Linked DNA regions of Cricetulus griseus. The protein of the gene in region 1 purifies or fractionates together with the protein of each later gene. This does not show direct contact. Links are inferred from orthologs where the notes say so. Each region holds a gene or a part of one and is shown in the gene's direction. Other genes may lie near its edges. The genes, in order: Clgn, Slc12a2, Tctn2 and Ptpru.

Region 1 (3,572 bases):
TGTGTGTGTGTGTGTGTGTGTGTGTGTGTGTGTGTGTGTCTGTCTGTCTGTCCATAAAGATGGCAGTACTTGAATATAGAAAGCGCCTATTAAGGTAAATTTCTGTTTAGTGGTTTTAAAAATGTTCATTTTTAAAGTAAACACTAGAGTGGCAGCCAGTAACATTTAGAAGAAATCAAGGTTTTCTGGCCCAGACATTCATCTAAAGTTTTGATCTGAAAAGGGGTTGTGTCCATTGAAATAGGTATAACAATGCATTTTGTGATGTTTTATAACCATTTTAATGATATAATTTGTGTACTATCAAGTTGAACTGCTTAATTGTGTAATTATATTTATAGGGTTGGGTAACCATTACCAAATTCCAATATTAGACTTTCATTCCCCTAAATGCCCACTAGCTGCCCCCCTAATCCTGATCTAGTTGGTGTCTCAGCTATTGTCCAGTTCTTGTTTTCTCAGGTTTTCTTGTTTCTCTACATGAAATGGTACATCTACAATTTTCCCTAACTGGCTTTTCCAGATTTTCTAGAGCAATGGTTTTGTGTTCATGCATTCTTGTATGAGATCCTGTCTCTCTGTTACTAGATGCTTTTCCATGGTGTGAGCACTTCAGTTGACATCTGTCTGTACACTCCTCTCCAGCTGACATCTGTCTGTACACTCCTCTCCAGCTGACATCTGTCTGTACACTCCTCTCCAGCTGACATCTGTCTGTACACTCCTCTTCAGATGACATCTGTCTGTACACCCCTCTTCAGATGACTGCTGTCTGTACACCCCTCTTCAGATGACAGCTGTCTGTACACTCATGAGTTGATGGACACTTGATTCAGTCTACATTTGAGTTGATACAAGAAATGGGTTCTATGGATTATATCTAAGCATGTGTGAGGATATAAGTTTTGGTTTTATTTTGGCTATCTTTAAGTGGGATCACTGGGCCATGTTGAAATTTGCCACATTATTCCCCACCTCTGTTGGTATGTGTGAGGATTCCAGTTTCTCCAGTCTCTGTGGTTTTCAATGGTCATTTTTGATCACAGCAATGCTGGTGACTGTAGTACCATCTCTATCAGCCCCATCTTTCTTAAGTGGGCCCATATGTGTCCATAGCTCTATCTATTATCTGAGAAGCTTTACAGTTCTAAGAATCTACTTTAAAAAATGTTCCCATGTTGATGTTAGCTTTGGGGAAAGAGTAGCATACATGATGATGATGTGTTATTGTATGGCCACTCTTGAATCAATGATACTGAACTGTTTCAGTGCCCAACACTACTTGAAAGTCTGTTGGCACCATGGGAGACATCTTGAATTAATATATGCTAATGAAGTAGGCAAGAAGATATTACATGAATCAATAAGAGGAAGAGAGGTTGGTTGTATTTGGCATTTCTTATAGCACAAGGAACACCAATTATTCAGTGTTTGAAAAGACACGTGGTCAGATAATTGTGTAATGAGCATGGAATTATAGGAACAGTGAGTTTAAAAGAACATGAGCCCCAGGAGACAGCTTTCTACAGCATGGGATTTGATTTGGCAAAACACTATTAAATGTTAAATGTATGATTAAAAATCCCTTAGTTTTGGGTGTTTAGATGTAAGTGGACTCTAGCTTTATAATTATAAAATGTCTAATTTTGTATATACTTAAGCTACATTATTTATTTAAAACAATATAAGTGAAAATTTAGGAATCATGATAGCTTTTTTTTTCCTTTTCAATGAATCAACATTATTTGCATTTATAGACATTGTTGCTGACAGCTTTATATTTTTATACCATTAACTCTTTGGTTTCAGAAGAAGTCTTAGAACTGCACATTTTAAGTTGGTGTTTTATTTGTTCAAGGCTTAATTTAAATAATGTTGCTGGTGATGGAAACATCCAGAGTAAAGGAGAAACTATTTCTCCCTATGGTTCTTACCACATGGCATCCTTGCCTGATTTTTCAATGACTGCTTTAATTCCACAGATAGTCAATATGCATTTCCAAAGTGTTGGACTATGCTTGGGTCTTCTGTTCATCACTGTTAATGCAGAGTTTATGAATGATGGTGTTGATGTGGAAGACTTCAGTGAAAATCCAGAAGAGAGTTCTATTAAAGAAGACGACCCTTCCTCAGGGGTAAGATGGTTGAGAAGTGAATTATAAGCTATTCTTCCATGGTCATAGGAGTGACAGGTCCCTCAAGATAGGTTTCCTTCTCTTCTAAGAGGGTTGGTCTTCTCAGTGCATAGGGAAATGTTGCTTTTTTTTTTTCAGTTGTGTTCTTAGAGCGCCTACAGCAAACATTTGTTTGGACCTATTCCAGTTGTGTTCCATGAGTATGTGGGAAGTTTTTGTTGCCAAAACAGGAGTTCACTGGTTAAAGAAGACCAAGTTCTTTAACAAAGACAAGGACCATTAGTCCTATTTCTGATAATATCAGACTTTTCCAGACAAAATGGAAGGTGCCATAACTTGTGGTTCTTCAAGAAGTAAAGGAAGCAGCTTTTGTTTATTTCTCTGTAGGTAGATAATGCACACAAGGACAATGGATTGGAAAGGGAAGGAGTAACGAGGTGGACTTTAGTTGGGCTGAGCCAGGGCTATGCCTCAGCACTGTCGAAGTGTATGTCCTGAGGTGGTGACTGACGGGAGCCTGGGAACTTAACAGAGATTTTGGTTGATCTATTTTAACCATCCTCTGGAGCCTCCATATTGAATGTATTCCCATATAATACTGTGATAACTAAAAATCATTCATCCTTCTATGCTAGCCTCTGCTTAAAGGGCCCAAGTAACAAACAGGAAGTTCTCACAGATTCCTTTGCTTCATCTCATCTTATTGGGTTTTTAACATGCAAATAAATGTTATTATCGGTTTGCAGTAACTATTTTGCTTCCCCTTTAAATTTTAGTCTCTGCAAAGATATTTCTTTTGAAACTTAGTTCTGTGATTTACAAAGCAATGCTTGACAAACCATCACCTGGGTCAAACATCTATTACAGGGGTCTTTAAAAGTTCACACTTAAAAATTGACATGTGCTCACCACTCATAAGTATATTTGGTGAGATGACAAGAAATTGGAAAAAACACTTAAATTTTCATTACCAGACATCAATTGTACAAAATAACAGGTTTCATTATGACATTACTAAGACATGAGCTTTGCAACCAGAGCCCATGCCAGCCGGGATCTCTACTGCCCATGTGTACTGTGTACTAGGTTCCGAACAATCAGGCTGACTTCAGATATTTGCAAAAATGAGTAACTTTGGCTTAAAAATCTCTTTTCTAGACAATTATATATAAGACACCTCAACCTATAGGAGAAGTATATTTTACAGAAACATTTGACAGTGGAAGGCTGGCTGGGTGAGTACTCCTGCAAGAGCACATTTTCTTCAATTTGATGGGTTTTCTGAAGCTATTAGTCTGTGAGAATTAGCTCTCCTGTGACTGTGGAATAATTTAAAGCTATGAATTTATACAAAGACAGACACAAATTCAGAATGCAAAGGAAGCACATGGCATTTCCTTGCTCTCTGGGGTAGATATTGTGGAGATTCACAAGACA
Region 2 (3,572 bases), on another chromosome or scaffold:
GAATTGAACCTGGTGCTTCAAGCATGATAAGCACACGTTTTTACCAATGAGCCTAAGTGCCAGCCCCTAGCATGATTTTTACACAGTGAATTCTGTGGAACTATAACATAAGGGGGCTCTGTCAACTGAAAAAGTACCATGGGGCTTTTGTTACAAGTGGACCAGGGTTGAAAATCAGGAAAAGAATGGAAAGTACAGAAGGATTTAAGTTTCTCAGAACAGGCTAAATAGCATGTGAGGTTTTCAAAAGGAAAAGGAACTATGAACACAGTGCTTTAGCTTCAGTTTTACTTTCAAAATGAAATTTTGTTGAAGTAATTAAATATTTCTAACCATTAGTGACAAGTTTAAAGCATGGTCTTTTAAAGCATTTTATGAGTAGTTTTAATTAACAAATACCAATGGTATGAATTTCTTAAATTCACACCAAGGTTTTGTTATGTGGGTAGGTTGCTTGAAATGCTTTATATATTTATTAGAACATGGAAGTATATCATGGTGAAGACCAGAGTGTACAGCTGCCCCACTGAGGGGTAAGCCTTTCCTCTGTAGGATGCTGCTATAGTTTTCACTATGGTGGGTTGATTTAAATTTTTGAAAGGTTGTGTTGAATGAAGGTCTGAGAAGATGCACTAAGAGGGAAAATATTATCTTCACAGTCATTAGGAATTATCAAAACCAGCTGTGATCAATAACAGTCATTGACTTTACTGTTAGATATTAGCCTTGTACTTAATATTTAAAGTTGTCTGAGTGTGGCAGCCATAATGAAAGCTATTTTATACATAATTATGTGCCACTGTATAAAGCAAATGAAAAATCTGGGTGACTTTTTTGTCTGTCTTGTTAGGATGGCGTCCTGCATTCAAATATTACAACATGTGGATATCTCTTATTGGAGCAATTCTTTGTTGCATAGTGATGTTTGTCATTAACTGGTGGGCTGCCTTGCTCACATATGTGATAGTTCTTGGACTCTACATTTATGTCACCTACAAAAAGCCAGGTCAGTAGTCTTTTGTATTTAGTATTTCAAGCTAGAAAATGTCAACAGGTTTTTACGTTACTTCTTACTCAAGCATCTTTTGTATATTTGAAAAGGTGTCACATGTAAAACTTATAATACCTTCTTTCCATATAATTTTTTGCTTTTGAAGTACATTTAGTGTTAATTCCTATAGAATTTCATTTGTACCCATGAATTAAATATAACTAACCTTATTTAAGAAAAGTAATAAACTAACATTCTTTTGTACTTCCATTGTTTTAAAATTATAAAATTATTACGTTGAAAGTTCCAGATTTTGCAGCACTGTAGTAACTACTAGCCAAATGTCTGTCTCTGTCTCTCTCTCTCTCTCTCTCTTTCTCTCTCTCTCTCTGTGTGTGTGTGTGTGTGTGTGTGTGTGTAGAATATATATATTCTCTTGTCATCTTTAGAACTTCTGTATAGATGGAATTCAAGCACTGGAAAGATGTATCTTTCCCAAAATAACTAAATATAAATGTTCTTTTTTGTTGTTTGCTTTTCTTTTTCTTTTTCTTTTCTTTTTTTCTTTTTTTTTTTTTTTTTAGACAGGGTTTCTCTTTGTAAACCAGGCTGGTCTGGAACTCACAGAAATCTACCTGCCTCTGCCTCCCAAGTGCTAGGATTAAAGGCGTGCACCACCACTGCCCAGCTAGTATAAATGTTCTTAACTGAGAAATAATTAGTGATTGTCATCTTCTACATTGATGATGTCTAGAAAGGTCCCCGTGTAAGGTTTGAGGGGAAGGGCTGTTAGGATTGGTTCAGTATATAGAAAAAGATATGGCAAAAAAAGGTAGGAGAGTTTGGTCCACTGGCATAAATCAGAAGATGAGTAGTTACAGTACAGTAATTCTAAACAGTGATGAAATGTAATCTGAATATGAAATGATGAACTTTTGAATTCAGATGGTGACTCTAGAAATGAATGGAGAAGGGAGGTATATTTTTAACTTTTAGGAGCAAATGTTCCTCTAAAATACTATTAAATATACATTAATGTGTTTTTAAAAATCATTCAAGGCCCAACCTTTTTATTCAATAGTAGAGGACGTTTTCATGTTTAAATAGCTTGAACATATTTACTGTTCTTAAAGTGTGTCCCCTCAGGTCTTCAGCTACATAATGAATAATTTTTAAATATTTTATTGTTGGGAATGTTTTGAGTTATGCAAACATGTCTACAGTGCCATCATCATGCATTTATTAAGTTATGCCTTTTTTCAAATGCAATGACAGATCTGATGATAGTCTTAATGTACTTCTATATACTAGAACTATTCAAAGTTATAGAATAGTAGTTTACTTTAGCAATTGACTTATAAACATGAAAATTCTGCCCAGTTTGCTGTTTGTCTCATGGGTTTGAAATGGTTGCCATTGGAATCACACTGCATGACTCTGTTTTCCCACAGATGTGAACTGGGGGTCCTCCACACAAGCCCTGACTTACCTGAGCGCACTGCAGCATTCCATTCGTCTTTCTGGGGTGGAAGACCATGTGAAGAACTTCAGGTAGGAGAACAGGCACCATGGAGGCATCCTCTGGTTACTAGTCAGTTAATTCTTAAACCATTCATTTTTCAGTAACATTCTGTATGGAATAGTACACAATATTCTGTCTTGCTTGGATGGTCTTGGACAGTTAATTATTCAAAACCAAACATACAAAAAAAAATGCTGTCCTTAGAAAAAGTGATGAAAGTTTTGGAACTGTCATTTGAAGAAAAATATTTTTTTTTCTCTTTGTAAGCATTCATGTTATATATCTATAAGTTTCTTTAAATTTTTTTTGTGTATGCATGTTTTACCTGTATCTATGCCTGTGCCCTACTTGCACACTTGGTACCCACAGAGGCTAGAAAGAGCATTAAATTCCCTGGAACTGGAGTTGCAAATAGTTTTGAACTGTTATGTGGGTTATGTTACGGGAATTGACCCCATAAGAATTTTTATTTGTTTGCTTGAGACAGGGTTTCACTGTATGGCTCTGGCTGGCTGGGGACTCCCTTTGTATAAGCCAGGTTACCCTTGAACTCACAGAGATCCGCCTGCCTCTGCTGCTTGAGTGCTTGAATCCAGCCATGCCTGGCGTAGACTTGTTTTGATGAACCTATTTTTATAATTTTGTTAAGACTAAACAATACTGAATTCATATTTCTAAGCAACTAACTGGAAACTACTTGCAGTAGTAAGACTGTGTTTTTGGCTAAGGAGTACGTGCGTTGTACTTCCCTTGGGAAATGACTTTGTCATTAGTCTATTAGTCATCTCTGAAACTTCTGTAATACATTGCTAGTAATGGGTTAGATCCAGATATTAAAACACTGTTGAGAGATGCTTCTCTGTATTCAGAAATATTTATGCATATAAAGTCTAAGAAATTTTAGCCTGTTTATACTTAGTATTTTCATAAAATAGTATTTCTTAAATTGATGAGGTTGGTTAGCTGTCACAAGTCATACATAACCTTTCATTGGCTTCTGAAATATACACAACGTTGTTCTAGAAAATATCTTTGAAGAGGAGATACATTTCAAGAAAG
Region 3 (3,572 bases), on another chromosome or scaffold:
TCTCTCAGGCTGACCTCGAACTCAGAGAGATCCACCTGCCTCTGCCTCCCGAGTGCTGGGATTAAAGGTGTCTACTGCTGCTGTCGCCACCACCAGGTGAAAAATTTATGACTATGATCTCTGTGAATAAAAAATAAAGAGCTGGGGTTTGTGTTGTATCCCTGAAACCCCAGCACCCAGGAGGCAAAGGCAGGAGGATCAGAGTTCAAGGCTGTTTTTGGTTATATAGAGAGTTTGAGGCCAGCCTGGGCTACATGAGGCCCTATATCAAAGCAAAGAGGAAAGGGTGATTTGCATCTCAGCAGATCATCGTTGAAGGGTTATTGATCATCTTTTTTTTTTTTTTTAAACGGTGCTGGGGTTGAACTTCAGCCTATGTACAGGCTAAGCAACACCCTAAGGGCCCATGGATAATCTATCTTATGGACTTGCAGTTCCCCCAGACACGACTCTGCCTTTGAAGCCCATCTGCACCTCCATCTAAGAGACTATGCTGATGCCACTTACAAACAAGGCGATCCCATCATGACCACACAGGGGTATTTTACCGTCCCCCAGGTAAACTTGGATCTAACTAGTGTTGTATATCCATAAGAATCTCCCGCTAAGCAGCTTATTTTCCTCTTGTACATTAACTATTAATAGTCCCTAGATGGGAAAGACTCATTCTTAACCTCTGCCTTCGCTAAGTCACAGTGTGTATAATAACACAGGAGGTGTCTCTGTGCAGACTCCTTGTGGGCGATGATGGGTGATCAGTCTCCACTTCATTCCCTTTTGGTGTTTTGTGTTTTTGTGGTACTGGAGCCAGTACTGAGGGGCCTTGTGTATGCCAGTCAAGTGCTCTACCAAGCTACATCCTTAGCCCCAGCAATTTCTGAGGTGCTATAAGTATGTGACTGTGTATAAGAGTGTTTGACACATCTTTAAGGTTAGAAAGTTTTATGTGAAGTCTTTGTTTTTTTCTACATCCGTCATTATTGGGAAACTGCTTGTGGGAGGAAAGCGTGGGGTGCATGACAGTTTGTTATTCCTGTGAACCCGTTTATATCATTGGAGCTGTCTGGGGGCAGGAGGTGTGCTTAGCACTAGAGTTCATGGTTATTCCACGTGGGGCGCTGGCTTTCCCACCTCCCTCAGAACTCACGTTGTGATGAGGGAGAAGCGCGGCCGAATATAGTCATTACTTGTTAGTGGACAGGGCCAGGGACCTTCCCCGAGTGTATTAGAGAACACTTAACTGTGAGTAGTGGCTTCCAGTTGTTGGTTCTCTAAAGTTGGTCGCTGTTGACAATGTCTAGCAATAGCAGTGAGCAGCAGAAAGTGACTTGGAGTAGGGTGGCATTGATGTAGGGTCTTATACTGAAGCCTAGACTGGTCCTGAATTTAGGGCAGCTCTGCCTGAACGCCCCCAAATGCAGGGATTACAGGCTTGAGCACCACGCTTGGCAGAAAGAATGGTTTTAAGAGAGGAAGAAGAATTCCATGTACCATCTTTGTTCCTCACCCTTAGGTGTCCCTAGCTGGACAGTGTCTGCACAGTGCTCCAGTGGCTTTCCTGAGGAACTTTGATGTTAAATGTACCATCGATCTGGAAGTGTACCAAGAACAAGATGGCGTTGTCCCTGAGAACGTGAAGATCCGCACTGCGGGAGGTAGGCTGCCTTTGCGGTTAGACCGGTGTGGTTAATAGGGAAGCCTCTGGCTCAGCATCGGTGATGGCTCATCTATTGGTTGAGAATGGTGTTTTCCCTGGGAAAAGTTCAGTCTGACAGAATAGCATCTGCACATGTGGTCGGTGTTTTCCTCTGTGCACTGGGCATGGAACCCAGTGTTCAATCACTAAGCCCCACCCACCCCAGATCTCTATTGTCAGTTAAGTCAAATCTCTATAATGTCACTCGAGTGCCATCGACTTTCTGTGCAATACTGTGTACCCTACTCTCTCGAGGAGCCCCAGACCTTTCAATACCCACAAAGGGAGCAGGCATCTTTTCAGCAGTGAGCAACTGAGCTCTTGTCTGTCTCTGTATATCACATGGATGGAACCATTTCTTTGCTGCTGGCTCCTGGAACCCTCGATAGGGGTGGGGAAGAACTGTGGAAAGAATAGACACACACTGTGAAACAGGAATGGGTCCAGTCAGGTTCTCCAACTACTGCTATGATAATCTGCAACCTCAGTGTGTATTAGGCACAGCACAGGGGGAGGCTATCTAGTCTCTGGAAGGCTCTACAGGCAGTGGTCCCTGACTCTGAGCATCCAGGAGGAAGTCACAGTTGCCAGTCTCTGCACACACAGAGGAACAGTTTATAGACACTCCTTCTTAGACTCCCAAAGAAAGCTTCACCATTTCTTTTCTTTTTTGAACCTGGCCCATGTCTGCTAATTTCCCATGGGCCAGTTGCTCATGTCAAAGTACACATTGACTCAGGACCTCACTCCCCCTGGGCTTCCTCTGCTCCTTGCACTTTGCTCTGTGGCCTTCACATCTGGCTTCTCTCACTTAGCAGCATCTTTTTAATTCTGTTTGTTTGTTTATTTGTTTTTCAAAACAGGGTTTCTCTATGTATCCCTGGATGTCCTGGAACTCACTCTGTAGACCAGGCTGGCTTTGAACTCAAAGATGTACCTGCCTCTGCCTCAAGAGTGTTGAGATCGAAGGTGTGCGCCACCACTGCCAACTTTTGCATCATCTTTTGAAAGCACATATCTGTGCCACTTTTTTTTTTTTTTTTTTTTTTTTTTGACTAAGGAGTATTGTACTGTATGGCTCAGCCACATTTCTTTGTCCATTTGTAGGCTGATGGATACTTAACATGTTGCCATCATTTGGTTTTGTGACCAGTGCTGGAGTGAGCATTTGGGGACACAGTTTTATGGGATATGGAGTGGGGTTGTCATGCCATGTAGTTTACTTGATGATTTGAGGGAATACAGATTCTTCCAAAGTGGCTGCTTTGTGTACTTTCCACCCTTACCGAAGCTCTTCTTGCAGAGTAACACCACAGGTGCTGGTGCTGACTCTTTGTAACACCACAGGTGCTGGTGCTGACTCTTTGTAGGTCTAGTGAGGGACTGGGAGCTGATGATGTAGGAGGGGGAGAGAGCGTGAGGAGATAATCACCACAGGCATGGTTGCACGGTAGCCCTTTTCTTTTCCTTTTTGAGATAGTGACCTTGAACTCCTGATCCTTCTGTCTTGTGAATCCTGGGATTGCAGGAGTGTGTCACAAAGTCTGGCTTCTTGTTAGCTCAATAAGCTTCCTGTGAGTAGGTGAGTGGCACTGTGGCAAACCACATGTCGCTATGGAAGTAAATTTGTTGGGGGAAATTTGATCACACTGTGAACCCCGAGTTTGCATTTGCATTAATTAAATAAAATTAACCTTGGGTCAGGAGGCTGAGTTAGCAACTAGAAGATAATCATAGAGCAACAGCGGGTGTCTGGAAGAGACAGAGAGATGCATCGGAAGGAGTAGGGAGGGATTTGGAGTGGTCTTTTTTTTTTTTTTTTTTTTTTTGTGGTGGAGCAGAAGGATGCGCTCTTTTGGAGAGACACCAGCAAGGA
Region 4 (2,543 bases), on another chromosome or scaffold:
CTCCCATTTCGCAGGAGGCTCATGTTGGGTCACAGGAACAGGGGCAAGTGGAGGAGAGGATCCCTGGTGACCACAGCTAGGCTCAGTGCTTGTGTTTGGCTGTGTATCTCCATTGTTGGTCCTGGCTGGTCTTCCCATCTTGCTTTGGGGCTTGTTTGCCTCTGGGCCTTCCCTTCTGTCATTTTCTTTTGAAGTATGGTTGTATCTTTTCTCTAGGAATCTACAGGCCAGTCCTTTCTGAGGATATCTTCTGATATGATGCGTGGTTTTGGATATCATTCTCAACCCTGAGCTATCTTTTTAGCTTTCTGGTCCTAGGGCTGGCTTCTGGGTTCTCTTCTCATCCCTCGGCTCCCTAGTCCACCCTCCATGGCTCCTTAGTGTTACCCTCACCTTTGGCCTCTCTGACTTAGCCCCTGCCTTTTGATTGCCTAGCTCCACCCCTCACCCTTGAGTTTCCAGGTCCTGCCCCAAACCTTTTCTGTGTTTCCTTTAGAAACGGGGGTGGCCGAAGTGGTACCTTCTGTGCCTGTGCCACGGTCTTGGAGATGATCCGCTGTCACAGCCTAGTGGATGTTTTCTTTGCTGCCAAAACACTTCGGAATTACAAGCCCAATATGGTGGAGACCATGGTGAGGAGCCATGTCCCAAGCACAGCCACTTCAGCTCCCATCCAAGCCCCACCAGGTTCCTTAGTACCTACGCACTCCTGTCTGGTCCCCAACTTTGGGTCTCTGTTCTAGTCCTGGGTTGTTAGAATATCATCCTCATTTCCCTTTCTCCAGAGGGTGGTCAGAGCTCAAGGTGCTCTCTTTCCCCAGGATCAATACCACTTCTGCTACGATGTGGCCCTGGAATACCTGGAGGCTCTGGAATTGAGATAGCAGGCGCCTGGCCTGGGGCACCCACTGAGCACCCAGGGCGTGGCCCATCATCCCAGACTGGAGAGGAGGGCCTGTGCCCCCAACTTTGCTCAGCCATAATTCTACAAGGAGAACACTGGAGTGGACGCTGCACTATCTTGGTGGCCCCCATGGGCAGGCTGCGGGCCAAGGAGGAGCTTTGCAAGACTACAGGACTGCAGCCAGCCCCACCTCCAGAGGGCCTTGCAGACCTGTGCTGAGAAACCTGGGACGGTGACACTGGCCAGAACAGCCAGTACTGGGACCCCAGGCCAGGCCCCTCCACTCCATTCCAGTCCTTGGCAAGAAATGAATGAGGGCTGCGAGAGAGTGTTCAAGGTTTGCACTCAGTGTGGCCCCCTTCTGCACATGGTGGAGGCTCACTGGGCTTGGCAGGGGCTGAGTCCCACCTGGCTTAGCCCCTGAGAGTCCTGAAGCTGGGACTCTTCACCGTCTTGCCAGTGGGACACGCTGACCCTCCTGCGGCTCTGTTCTCCATCCCACTGCCCCTGCAGACCCGGGGGTGCTTTGCTCGCCATGCTTTCCTACTTCTGCTTCTGAGCTTCCTGCAACAGGGCCTGCGCCTCCCTCCTGGGCTCCATCCCTGCCTGGCCCAGTATGTGCAGAATATCTCCTCAGCTCCTTCTTTCCTAGCCTTCAGGCCTCCATGGCTCAGTCCTGCTCAGCGTGGGCCTGTGACAATCCACAAGGCTGAATCCCAGCCCCCGGGGTTGAGGTCCCTGTGGCTCTTGGTGAGGCTGCCACTGGGTTGAGGCAGAGTAGAGCAGGGCTGGTGACAGCTCCTAGAGTTCAGAGGAAGAAGGGTGCTATGGGATGGAGGACCAGTACTTTTTTGTTGTTATTTCATTATTTTCTTTTTTCTTTTTTTTTTTTTTTTTGATGGGAGGGTGGGAAGTACTCTTTATAATGGGGTAGGCCACACCCCCATTTCGTGCCTCAATTTCCCCATCTGTAAACTGTAGATATGACTACTGACCTACCTCACAGGGGGCTGTGGGGAGGTGTAAGGTAATGTTTGTAAAGCACTTTGTAAATAAACGTGCTCTCTGAATGCCACCCGGTGGCCGTGTGTGTGCGTGTTTGACCAGCTTGAGGGGACAGTGTAGGTCAGAGGCCTAGATTCTAGGCTTGGTTTGGTTTTTCTGTCCACCAGACAGCAGAGATATGGACCAGGGCATCCCCACTCAGAGTCCCTCCGAGGAGGTGGTTCCAGGGGACGCTGGTCCTGTTAGATACGCACCCCAGTAAGTACCTGACAAATATATACCTGATGAAGGCAGCTTCCGGGAGGAAGGGGTTATTTTGGGTTACAGTTCAAGATAACAGTCCACCATAAGTGAGTGCTCTAGTTTGGCTTCCGTGGCTATGATAAACATCGTGGTCACCAAAAGCAACTTGGAGAGAAAAGTATTTATTTCTTCTTAGATTTTGCAATCCGTCATCGAGGGAGGCCAAGGCAGGAACCCAGGGAAGGAGTTTGGGTCAGAAACCAAGGAGGAACACTGTTTATCAACTTGCTTCCAGGCCGGAGTTCAGCTATCTTTCTCACATAGCTCAGGCTTGCCTGCCTAGGCATGGTACTGCCCACAGTGGGCTGGGCCTTCCCATGTCAATCATTAA

Evidence for each region.
Region 2: the proteins of Clgn (region 1) and Slc12a2 purify together in Homo sapiens (co-immunoprecipitation; 3 studies listed by BioGRID and IntAct, with this or other methods). This does not show direct contact. The link is inferred for Cricetulus griseus from reciprocal best matches to the Homo sapiens genes CLGN and SLC12A2.
Region 3: the proteins of Clgn (region 1) and Tctn2 purify together in Homo sapiens (affinity purification with mass spectrometry; 3 studies listed by BioGRID and IntAct, with this or other methods). This does not show direct contact. The link is inferred for Cricetulus griseus from reciprocal best matches to the Homo sapiens genes CLGN and TCTN2.
Region 4: the proteins of Clgn (region 1) and Ptpru purify together in Homo sapiens (affinity purification with mass spectrometry; 3 studies listed by BioGRID and IntAct, with this or other methods). This does not show direct contact. The link is inferred for Cricetulus griseus from reciprocal best matches to the Homo sapiens genes CLGN and PTPRU.

Annotation. Positions count from the first base shown.
Region 1 is NC_048596.1:159,037,928-159,041,499, forward strand, and holds part of Clgn (calmegin), read left to right. Parts: intron 1-1,982; 5' UTR 1,983-1,991; coding exon 1,992-2,135; intron 2,136-3,293; coding exon 3,294-3,370; intron 3,371-3,572. UniProt on the Homo sapiens protein: Functions during spermatogenesis as a chaperone for a range of client proteins that are important for sperm adhesion onto the egg zona pellucida and for subsequent penetration of the zona pellucida.
Region 2 is NC_048595.1:181,064,499-181,068,070, reverse strand, and holds part of Slc12a2 (solute carrier family 12 member 2), read left to right. Parts: intron 1-850; coding exon 851-1,006; intron 1,007-2,442; coding exon 2,443-2,542; intron 2,543-3,572. UniProt on the Homo sapiens protein: Cation-chloride cotransporter which mediates the electroneutral transport of chloride, potassium and/or sodium ions across the membrane. Plays a vital role in the regulation of ionic balance and cell volume.
Region 3 is NC_048597.1:104,314,684-104,318,255, forward strand, and holds part of Tctn2 (tectonic-2), read left to right. Parts: intron 1-434; coding exon 435-558; intron 559-1,513; coding exon 1,514-1,655; intron 1,656-3,572.
Region 4 is NC_048595.1:21,492,400-21,494,942, forward strand, and holds the end of Ptpru (receptor-type tyrosine-protein phosphatase U), read left to right. Parts: intron 1-496; coding exon 497-632; intron 633-821; coding exon 822-884; 3' UTR 885-1,979; downstream 1,980-2,543.